Linked DNA regions of Nothobranchius furzeri. The protein of the gene in region 1 interacts with the protein of each later gene in a pairwise test. Links are inferred from orthologs where the notes say so. Each region holds a gene or a part of one and is shown on either strand. Other genes may lie near its edges.

Region 1 (4,515 bases):
AGTGCATTGGATTAAGATGCTTTTGGGCTTTTCTTTTTGCCTCCAGTGTGTTTCTTTTTTATTTTTAATTTTTACTTTAATTTTCAGCTTTTAGTTTCACTGCTTCTGTAAAGGTGAACGATCATATTCCATCCTTCTGCCCAGACCCTATCCTGAACACCTGACATGGGCTTGATGCTGTGAAAGTTTGACCCCCCCCCCCCCCCCCCTCCATCACCAGTCAACCAAATGACCCGTTCCTCTCACAAAACCACGTTCCTCAGCCTTTACAGCAACACCACTGCTTTTGCAGTACGGCTGCAGCAGCTTTCATAACCACAGGAGAGGAAAACCACGGCCATCCTGCGTAGAATTGTGAATCCTCCCCTTTGCATGTACTAAACAACAGCACAGTTATTTTTTAGGGTATTTTAGTTCCCTTAGGCTGTGAATACAGTGTAATTTTTTTATTTTAAGTAAAGCTGTGCTTAAATGTTACATGTTTCCCTTTCCCTGACTCCTCACTGTTGTCCGGTTTGCTAAATAATTATTGTTTTGCACATGTATTGCAAAGTGAGGCCTGAAGTCTTTCTGAAGGTGTTGCTGCTGGTGGGTTTAATATGTTTTGACCTGCCCAGACACCCTTACATTTAAGCATCACTCAGCCACAGTCTGTGTTTTCTGGAATGATCCAATGATAACATTTAGTGATACTCGAGACAATAATGAGTTTATTTCAGGAGCAGCGGTAGTGAATCTAATGTATCTCAGCTTCACTGGAAGGGGATTTAACCTCCCTGTTCACGGTCAAAGGTGTCCCATGCGTCAGACTGGAGATGTTCTAATGGGGGTTTCCTGAATCGTAAATAAACCCATGAACAGGTTTGCTGTAATTGTAGTACCTTGCAGAGTCTTTAGCCCTTTTTTGCTCCTACAAGCTAAGTGTACAAGCTTACCCTCATGTTTATTTTTCTGTTCACTTCAAACACTAGTGATGATTACACATTGTGCTCAAAACCTTTTGTTGAACATAGGGGTACTTTTTTGTTTTATTTTATTTTTTTGCAGCATTCCTTGTTAGCAAAGTGGTTTCAAATCAAAAATTATGACCTGGAAGGAATAGAAAAAGCCTATAAAACCTTTCAGGGGATGTTGGCTACCGGCTAAGTTGTCTTTAAGAAAAATAAATAGTGAAACACAAACCCAAAAGTGTGTGTGTGTGTGGGAGAGAGAGTGAGTGAGAGAGACAGTTCTGTTGTGAAATGAAGTATAATTAATCCTCTAGTGCATTTTCCTCCTGACGCCTCCCTTTCTCCTAATTGTTGGGCCTGAATTTAAACTGGAAAACGACGCGACCTGATTGGCCTGAGCAACAGATCGAGCGCATGCGCACAAGCAGAACGAGAAACTGTGCGTTAGGAACTACCGGAAAACTAAAACTTCCACATTTTACAATGGAAGACTTTTTTTTCCAAAAGTAAAATCTTACGGTGGCAAGAGAAGTTGCATCTTAAACTATTCTGGTCCCAAAAACTAATAAAGTACTAGACAGCTTTACCAGAAATGAGGTGAGACGTTTTATTTCCTGTTTAAGCTCGTGTTGCTGGACTTTACTGGATGCACCTGAAGGCAGCACCATCAGGGGAAATGAAAGCTGTTTGGGACAAACGCTACACGGCCGAGCAGAACCGCGGTGAGTCTAAAAACTTCGGGAAGACGGATTTTAAGGTGATTTGCGTCGTGTCACCTCACGAGAAAAAGACTGTGTATCGCAATAGTTGATCAAATTTACGAATGTTGCTTTTAAAGTAGTCTTTAAGCCTCCCCGCCGCGTGAGAGTGCCAGTTTTGGGCTAAAAGAAAGAAAAAAGGAAGCACAAACTATCTGGACACTTTAAACTCATCCCACAGGCCACAGGTAATGGTTTGATCCGAGACACCACTGTTGGCTCTGGGCTCTGGTGTGTGTGTGTGTGTGTGTGTGTGTGTGTGTGTGTGTGTGTGTGTGTGTGTGTGTGTGTGTGTGTGTGTGTGTGTGTGTGTGTGTGTGTGTGTGTGTGTGTGTGTGTGTGTGTGTGTGTAACGAGGAGAGGGGGTGGTCATTGTAATAAGTAATAAGATCCTGATCCAGTGTGAGCAGCACTAACAATAATGAGACATGAGAAACATCACGTAGTGTTTCCTTCAGGTATTTGTTTTATTCTTTGAGCATTAATCAGTCAGATCTTTAGGTAAATTCCAAATAAAGCTTGTTATCTGTTGTGAATTATTATAATTTTTGTCCAACAGGAACCATCCTGCAGAAGTGACAGACTTTGTTCCACCAGAGTCCTCTAGATCCGTCATGGAGACCCTTGAGGAGGACCTGACGTGCTCTGTGTGCTACTCTCTGTTCTGCGACCCGCGGGTCCTGCCGTGTTCTCACACCTTCTGCAAGACCTGCCTGGACAGCCTGCTGCAGGTGTCCACCAACTATTCCACCTGGCGTCCCCTCCGCCTGCCTATAAAGTGTCCCAACTGTTGCAGCGTGGTGGAGCTGCCCCCGATGGGTGTAGATGCTCTGCCCACCAATGTGTCCCTGCGGGCCATCATTGAGAAAGTAGGAGAGGCTGGCCCGTCTGTTCCCGTTTGTCTGAAATCCTTCTGACGGGCTTGTTTCTTTTTACTTTCAGTACCAGACGAACAATGCGCCTCGACCCCCGTCCTGCCAGGAGCACCACAGACAACCTCTGAACATGTACTGCATCCAGGATCGGCAGCTGATCTGTGGTCTGTGTCTGACCGTCGGGCAGCATCAGGGACATCCCATAGATGACCTTCAGGCCGCCTTCATCAAAGAAAAACAGACTCCATCGCTGCTGCTCGCCAGACTTTCGGAGCAGAGATGGGCGCAGGTGGGCGTCGGGGTTTGGGAGCAGGAATTCTGTGCCGTTTTTGTTTTGATTAATACGTCTAACGTCTTGTGGCTGTTGGTTAGGTGTGTGACCTGGCAGAGCAGCTGGAGCAGGACAAAGCCCGCTGTGAGGCTCTAGTGAGGCAGGACAAACAGGAAGTGGATCAGTTTTTTCTTGTGCTGGAGGGAATACTGGCCAGGAAGAAACACGCCTACCTGGAGGCTTTGGATAAAGCTGCTGCAGAGGTGTCGCTTGCATATGACCCCCTGATCCACAGAGTCAAGGAGCTTCAGGTGTGTGGACACTTCCACAATCCCAGTTCTTAGGGCTGCTTTGAAGTTTTGACTCATTTGTCTTCAACCCTCTGGGGTCCGTGGACGCTTATCCGCGTCTTTTGAACAGGTCTGATTTGGGACGCTGTAGCAGCAAGACTCCGCCTCCCTGAGTTTCCGTTTCAATTCAGCTTTAAAAAGGAGATTATAAACTACACCCCAGTTTTTAAATTGTGTTAATAAGCAACGTAAAAGCGGAGTTAAACTAAACTAAAAAATGACCTTTTTTTAGACAATCTGATAACTTGTCAAACAGCAGTTTAGTAATCCGTGAGAGGGAATGTGCTTGTGAACATAAAAAACCCACAAAAACATGAGATCCTTTTGCTGTTGCTGGAAGTCTCACATATTCAACTGATAAAAAGTATCATCATGTAGCTGAGAGAGAGAGGAAGGCCGCACGAGTAACGAGATGTGCGCAAAAAGGAGCCGCTTGGCGGGGAACGGAGTGGCGCGAACGGAGTAACAACAAACAGTTAGACAGATATTGATGGTAAACTTCATATTTTGGAGCGATCCGGACAGATATGTTGTCTCTGCAGTTTAGTAGGCTTTTATTAGGCTTATATAAAGGATGGTGAGAAGGATAAATGTCCACCAGGCAGTTCGGCTGTTTTTTGAACTGGAAGCAGAGGAAGTGGACGGAGACTCGCAGCCGGAGTCTGAAGCAAATAGCGAGGATGTTGATGACGATGTGGCAGATCCATCCTTCCTCATAGAAGAGTTGGGTCATGATGAGGTAGAGGATGAAGGCAGAGATCCAGCTCCTCGGAGATCCAACAAGAGGAGTGGGCGGCGCCGCGCAGCTGTCAGATCTCGATCTCCGCGGCGTGAGACAGAGCCACTCCCCACTCCAAAATGCATGCACATTATTGCCAAATTAATAAAATAAGTATAAATTCAGATAGTCCAGGTTGTTCTGAAAAAAATGATACCCCATAAGGCAAAATTTATTGTTTTTGTTAGAAAATACAAAAGACAAACCAAAATGAGTCAAAAACGGTGATTTACACCCAGGACCCCAGAGGGCTGATATTATTTTTTTTATTTGTTATTTGCCATATTTATTCATATTTTTTATAAATGTACAGTCTAGATTAACATTCTAAATTATAAAAAACATTCGTCATAAATGTTTGTTGGTTTCACAGTAAAATAATCCAATTCGGATTTTATGTTTTTGAGTGATTTAAGGTCTAATATGCAACCCCTTTATGTCCAAATGTAAAAAATAAGTATAAATTCATAAAGTCCAGGCTGTGCTGAAAAAGGCAGTGGTTATGGCTTTTATTTTGGAAATACAAAGAAAAC
Region 2 (4,491 bases), on another chromosome or scaffold:
CCAGCCCACCTAGCCAGGGCCCAAAGCAGCAGCATCGCAGAGCCCTACGGAGTCCGAGGGCACCAACCCAGCCCCACCCCAGCAGAATATCTACTCCCATCCCTGCATTTGCACAACTTCCAGAATATGTAAGACATAAGACATCAGGTAAGGTTGGGTCCTCCCCCTCCTGGACAACCCCCTCCCCCGTGATGTGACAGAATTGTTATTATTTCAGAGGAGCCAAGGTCCACCTGAGGCCCCTGAGCCTGGGCCAGGCACCGCCGTGTGTTCCCGCCTTCTTCCCAGCAGCATACAAGTTAGGAGCCAATCCCCAAGGCCCCGCCCAGATCCCCACATGGGGGCCAGCTACCCCCACACCCTTAGCCCCCAGGCCCCCACCCAGACCCACTCAGGGGTGATGCAGCCACCAGGCAGCAACCCATCGCCACCGTCAAGACCCCCCAAGGGGCTCCACTCACAACCGCCAGTAATCCACCCCTCGAGGCAACCCAAGCGCCTCCAGAGTGGGACAGCAGCCCCCCAGCCCCAGACACCCCCAGTGAATCCACCTCCAAGGAACGTCCGGATACTGCAAGCGCAGACCCTCCACCCCATCACCCACATCATCCCGCAGGACAGTATCAATGACAACCCCCCCCCCCCCCCCACACACACACACACACACACAATCACCTCTATGTGATGGAACCGATCAAAGGAGCCCATATAGATTGATTTGAAGTGGAAGAAGAGGCTGTCTCAAGTGTAATATGATCCAACAAAAGATTTATATACTGGTTAATGCAAAGAGTATCTCTATTTTTCCAATTCATGAGGATAGTTTTTTGAGCGACGCATATGGCAGTCAGAACCACGTCAACCAAAGGTGTTTCAATCGGGACATCATCCAGGTATCTTGCTATTCTTTATAGGTAGCCTTGTATCTAAATAGTAAATAATTTATAAAACAATAATTCTGTACAAAATTGATTATTATTATAATGTATCTATAATTTAGGCCCATTATTGTTTTAGGAAATAGCCTGGCTAGAAAATAATGTAAACAGACAAAGTAAATGCACACTAATATAAACTTCGTTCATTTTTATTTAATATTGTAGTGACTAGTAATAGTTTATCTTATTTTATGATGTTTCAGTTGTCTTTTAACAAATGTTTCAAATCTTTTTTAGAAGAATTAGCGGAAAAACTACAGTTCCCAGAGACCGTTTAAAGCTGTCTACCTTCGTGCCTGAATAAAATACGTTAAAATAACTTGTAAGACATTTAAATAGTGTTAAGCATATTGATGGTATTGTCACATTCATCTTCAGTATTGAAATAAATTTCACCGAACGTTTAGCATGTGAATACTTCAAATTTGTAGCAATGTTGTAAAGTTTAGGCACTTGGTCACGAGAGTCGTCATGCGGCAGCGGAAGAGTCTCATCGAAGCACAAGCAGTTGATCCACTTGTGTAGTTCGTTCCGTCCTTTAAAGAAAAAGGTACAGGTGGCCTTTTTATGACAGACAGCGAGATTACATTGACGGAAAATGTCGTCGGAAGAATTTGAGAAGTTACACGAAATCTACAGATCCTTGTATGACGAGCTAAAGCTAATCCCAGAGAAGGCTCTCAGCTGTACCGGAGGTAAATAAACCCGTTGTTCCCTCATTTAACCTCGTTTAAGTGTCAAATAACAAAACCTTCTTGGTTTAAACCTCGAACTTGTTCTGTTCCTAATGCAGAGGAGAGGAAGAGACTGGTGAGGACCTTCGATGAGAGACAGGGGGAAGCTGATGAAGTGGTAAAAACGTTTGTTTACGTCAACATCTTCACTTGTTTCTGTTTGTTATTTATTAACAGTGAGTGTTATAAATAAGGCCAAGAGTTTGCTGTAATTATTACCGCAAAACATCAACATAAGTACAATGACTGGCTGTGATGCTAAAGCTAATGTAGCTGAATGCATCTTGTGTGTAAAAACCATCGACATTAATATATGGACAATGGGTTTCCATAGACTCCAATAACACGTTTTTGAGGCTAAATGGGAGGTGGCCACCACCGCCATTTTGACCGTGTCACAGGTTCCGTCAAGCCCAGACAATTCCACAAAAGGGAAGAGAGGAGGAGCTGAGGGTGGGGCTGTAAGGCTGGGATCAACTGACAACACCCGGTCGAGCTATCTACAAGCTAACCTGAAGCTAACCCAAAGCTAATGCGGATGTGGGAGCTAAGCTATCGGAGGTAGCAACCTAGCTACAACTGGAGTTAACTGTGCACAACACCAGAGCTTCTGAGTCAGAGGTACGCCGGGCTGACCGCTGGGTAAAATACGGTGGAACCCAGAGGTCTCGGAGACCTCCACAAGCCGGCAGCCGCACAGTACACAGAAGCCGCGATCAGACAGATGCGTCGAGCTGCTGGGAGAACCAGCCGTCAGCTCGCTGCAGCAAACAGAAGCTGCGATCAGACAGATGCGCCGAGCTGCGGGGAGAAGTGGCGTATTTTGGCGGTTCTGGCTTGCCATAAGAACCAGCCGTCAGCCCGCCGCAGCACACAGAAGCCGCGATCAGACAGCGATGCGCCGAGCTGCTGGGAGAACCAGCCGTTAGCCCGCGCAGCTAACAGGAGCCGCGATCAGACAGAGATGGACCAGGCTGCGGGGAGAAACAGCCGGCATTCTGGGTGGAAAACATCGGTCTCCCGAGAGCTCCACAAGCCGATAGTCGGAACCCAGCTCCACCAACATGTTATATTTCAACCCATTTTCTAAAGTGCAGCATTGTGTTAAATGCACTGGGTTTTACCCTATTACATTTAAATTTCATGGTTAAACAGTACATGTTAAAATCTAAGCTCAGCTTGGCAGTGACCTAAAATACATAAATATAATTTTACTTACCGAAAAAAATGAAGTGGAGACTCCTTGGACGCTCTATTAGTGCAATTAATGCCACAGCAAGTCATTTTGTCCAACAATTGCACAAAAAATATCCAAAAAAGAATACACAAACACAGAGACTCAAAATCCCGGAACAGTTTCCAAGCCAGACTGAGGCTCTACTGAGGCCTTTCCACGGAGCTAGCTCTGTGGTCACGTGTGTCGGATGCTCATTAATTATACAGAATTTTAGGCTTTTAATACACTTAAACAGAAGAGTGAGAAAAAAAATTCACCCCCCTCAGAGTTGTCATGAGTATAAACTAGATCATTTAAACAAAAAACATGTTTTGGTACCAGGCTGTAAACATGTTTATTTCTGCTGTGAAATTGGCATTTTTAACATGGGAGTCAATGAGGATTTGCTCGTTTCTGACACCAGCCCCCAGCGGATGAGGGTGGAACTGCAATTTCTCTTACTTCCGGGTTGGCCTCAAATTTAAAGCCACATTGTGGGGGCCTGGTAAAAACGCAGCTTTACACTTTAAGCAGAGAGGTAGTGCAGTAATCATTAAATCAAAAGTCTATTAAACTTCAGTGTTAAAAACACAGAGGAAGATGCTTAAATACGTGCCTCACACTGCCAACTTTATTCGGTACACCTTGTATCTGCAGGGTTAGATCAGAACTACCTTCTCTCTTCATGTCATTGATCCAACAAGATGTTGGAAACTTTCCTTAGAAGTTCTGGTCCATATTAACATAACATCACACAGCTCTGTTCATAAGGAAAACCTCCTACTCCACCACATTCCATAAGTTCTGGACTGAGATCTGGTGACCGTGGAGGCCGTTTTTGTCCAGTGAACTCATCGTCATGTTCTAGAAACCAGTTAGAGATGCTCTGAGCTTTGTGACATGGTGCATGATCGTGCTTGAAGTAGTATCAAAAAATGGGTCCATGTGGTCATAAAGTGATAGACATGTATGGTCAGCAACAAGGTTGTGGTACTTAAACTAGGCTCAGCTGGTACTAAGGGGTCCAAAGTGGGACAAGAATGCCACCAGCAGCAGCTTAAAGCATTGATGCAAGACAGAATGGACCCATGCTTTCATGTTGGTGACACCAGATGAATTGAAGCCTCAGTATCCTTTTCTTAGCTGACAGGAGAGACACATTGATGTGGTTTTCTGCTGCTGGATCTGCTTCAGGCATCATCATGTTGTGGTTCAGAGATGCTGTTCTGCAGACCTTGGGAGGAACGAGTGATTGTTGGAGCTGCTGTTGTCTTTTTATTTATTTTTTTACGGTGTCCTGTCCGGCTGTGAAGCAATCAGAATTGATGTCTGAATGCCAAAGATAAGTAGTATTATTAATTGTATTATTTAGTCTGGCAACGCTCTAATTATGGCTCTCAGTTGTGGGGCAGGTTCAACCGTTGTCTTTCAAATGATCTCCGCATGCTACTGGACAATGAATGTGACATACTCTTGTTTCTAGGGATGGGTACCTTTGACATTTGAATCGATTCGGTACTAATTCCCGGTACCTACGAATCGATACCGGTACTTAACGGTACCAATTTTCGATACTTTTGAGTGTTTATTATTTTAATTCTCT

What was found.
Region 2: the proteins of trim59 (region 1) and vti1b interact in binary tests that used the Homo sapiens proteins (3 or more experiments, as listed by UniProt). The two-hybrid records come from large-scale screens. The link is inferred for Nothobranchius furzeri from reciprocal best matches to the Homo sapiens genes TRIM59 and VTI1B.

Annotation. Positions count from the first base shown.
Region 1 is NC_091753.1:52,625,583-52,630,097, reverse strand, and holds the start of trim59 (tripartite motif-containing protein 59), read left to right. Parts: upstream 1-1,543; 5' UTR 1,544-1,672; intron 1,673-1,731; exon of another isoform or gene 1,732-1,896; intron 1,897-2,267; 5' UTR 2,268-2,322; coding exon 2,323-2,577; intron 2,578-2,650; coding exon 2,651-2,872; intron 2,873-2,955; coding exon 2,956-3,165; intron 3,166-4,515. UniProt on the Homo sapiens protein: E3 ubiquitin ligase involved in different processes such as development and immune response. Serves as a negative regulator for innate immune signaling pathways by suppressing RLR-induced activation of IRF3/7 and NF-kappa-B via interaction with adapter ECSIT.
Region 2 is NC_091758.1:18,877,932-18,882,422, reverse strand, and holds the start of vti1b (vesicle transport through interaction with t-SNAREs homolog 1B), read left to right. Parts: upstream 1-1,404; 5' UTR 1,405-1,536; coding exon 1,537-1,633; intron 1,634-1,731; coding exon 1,732-1,790; intron 1,791-4,491. UniProt on the Homo sapiens protein: V-SNARE that mediates vesicle transport pathways through interactions with t-SNAREs on the target membrane. These interactions are proposed to mediate aspects of the specificity of vesicle trafficking and to promote fusion of the lipid bilayers.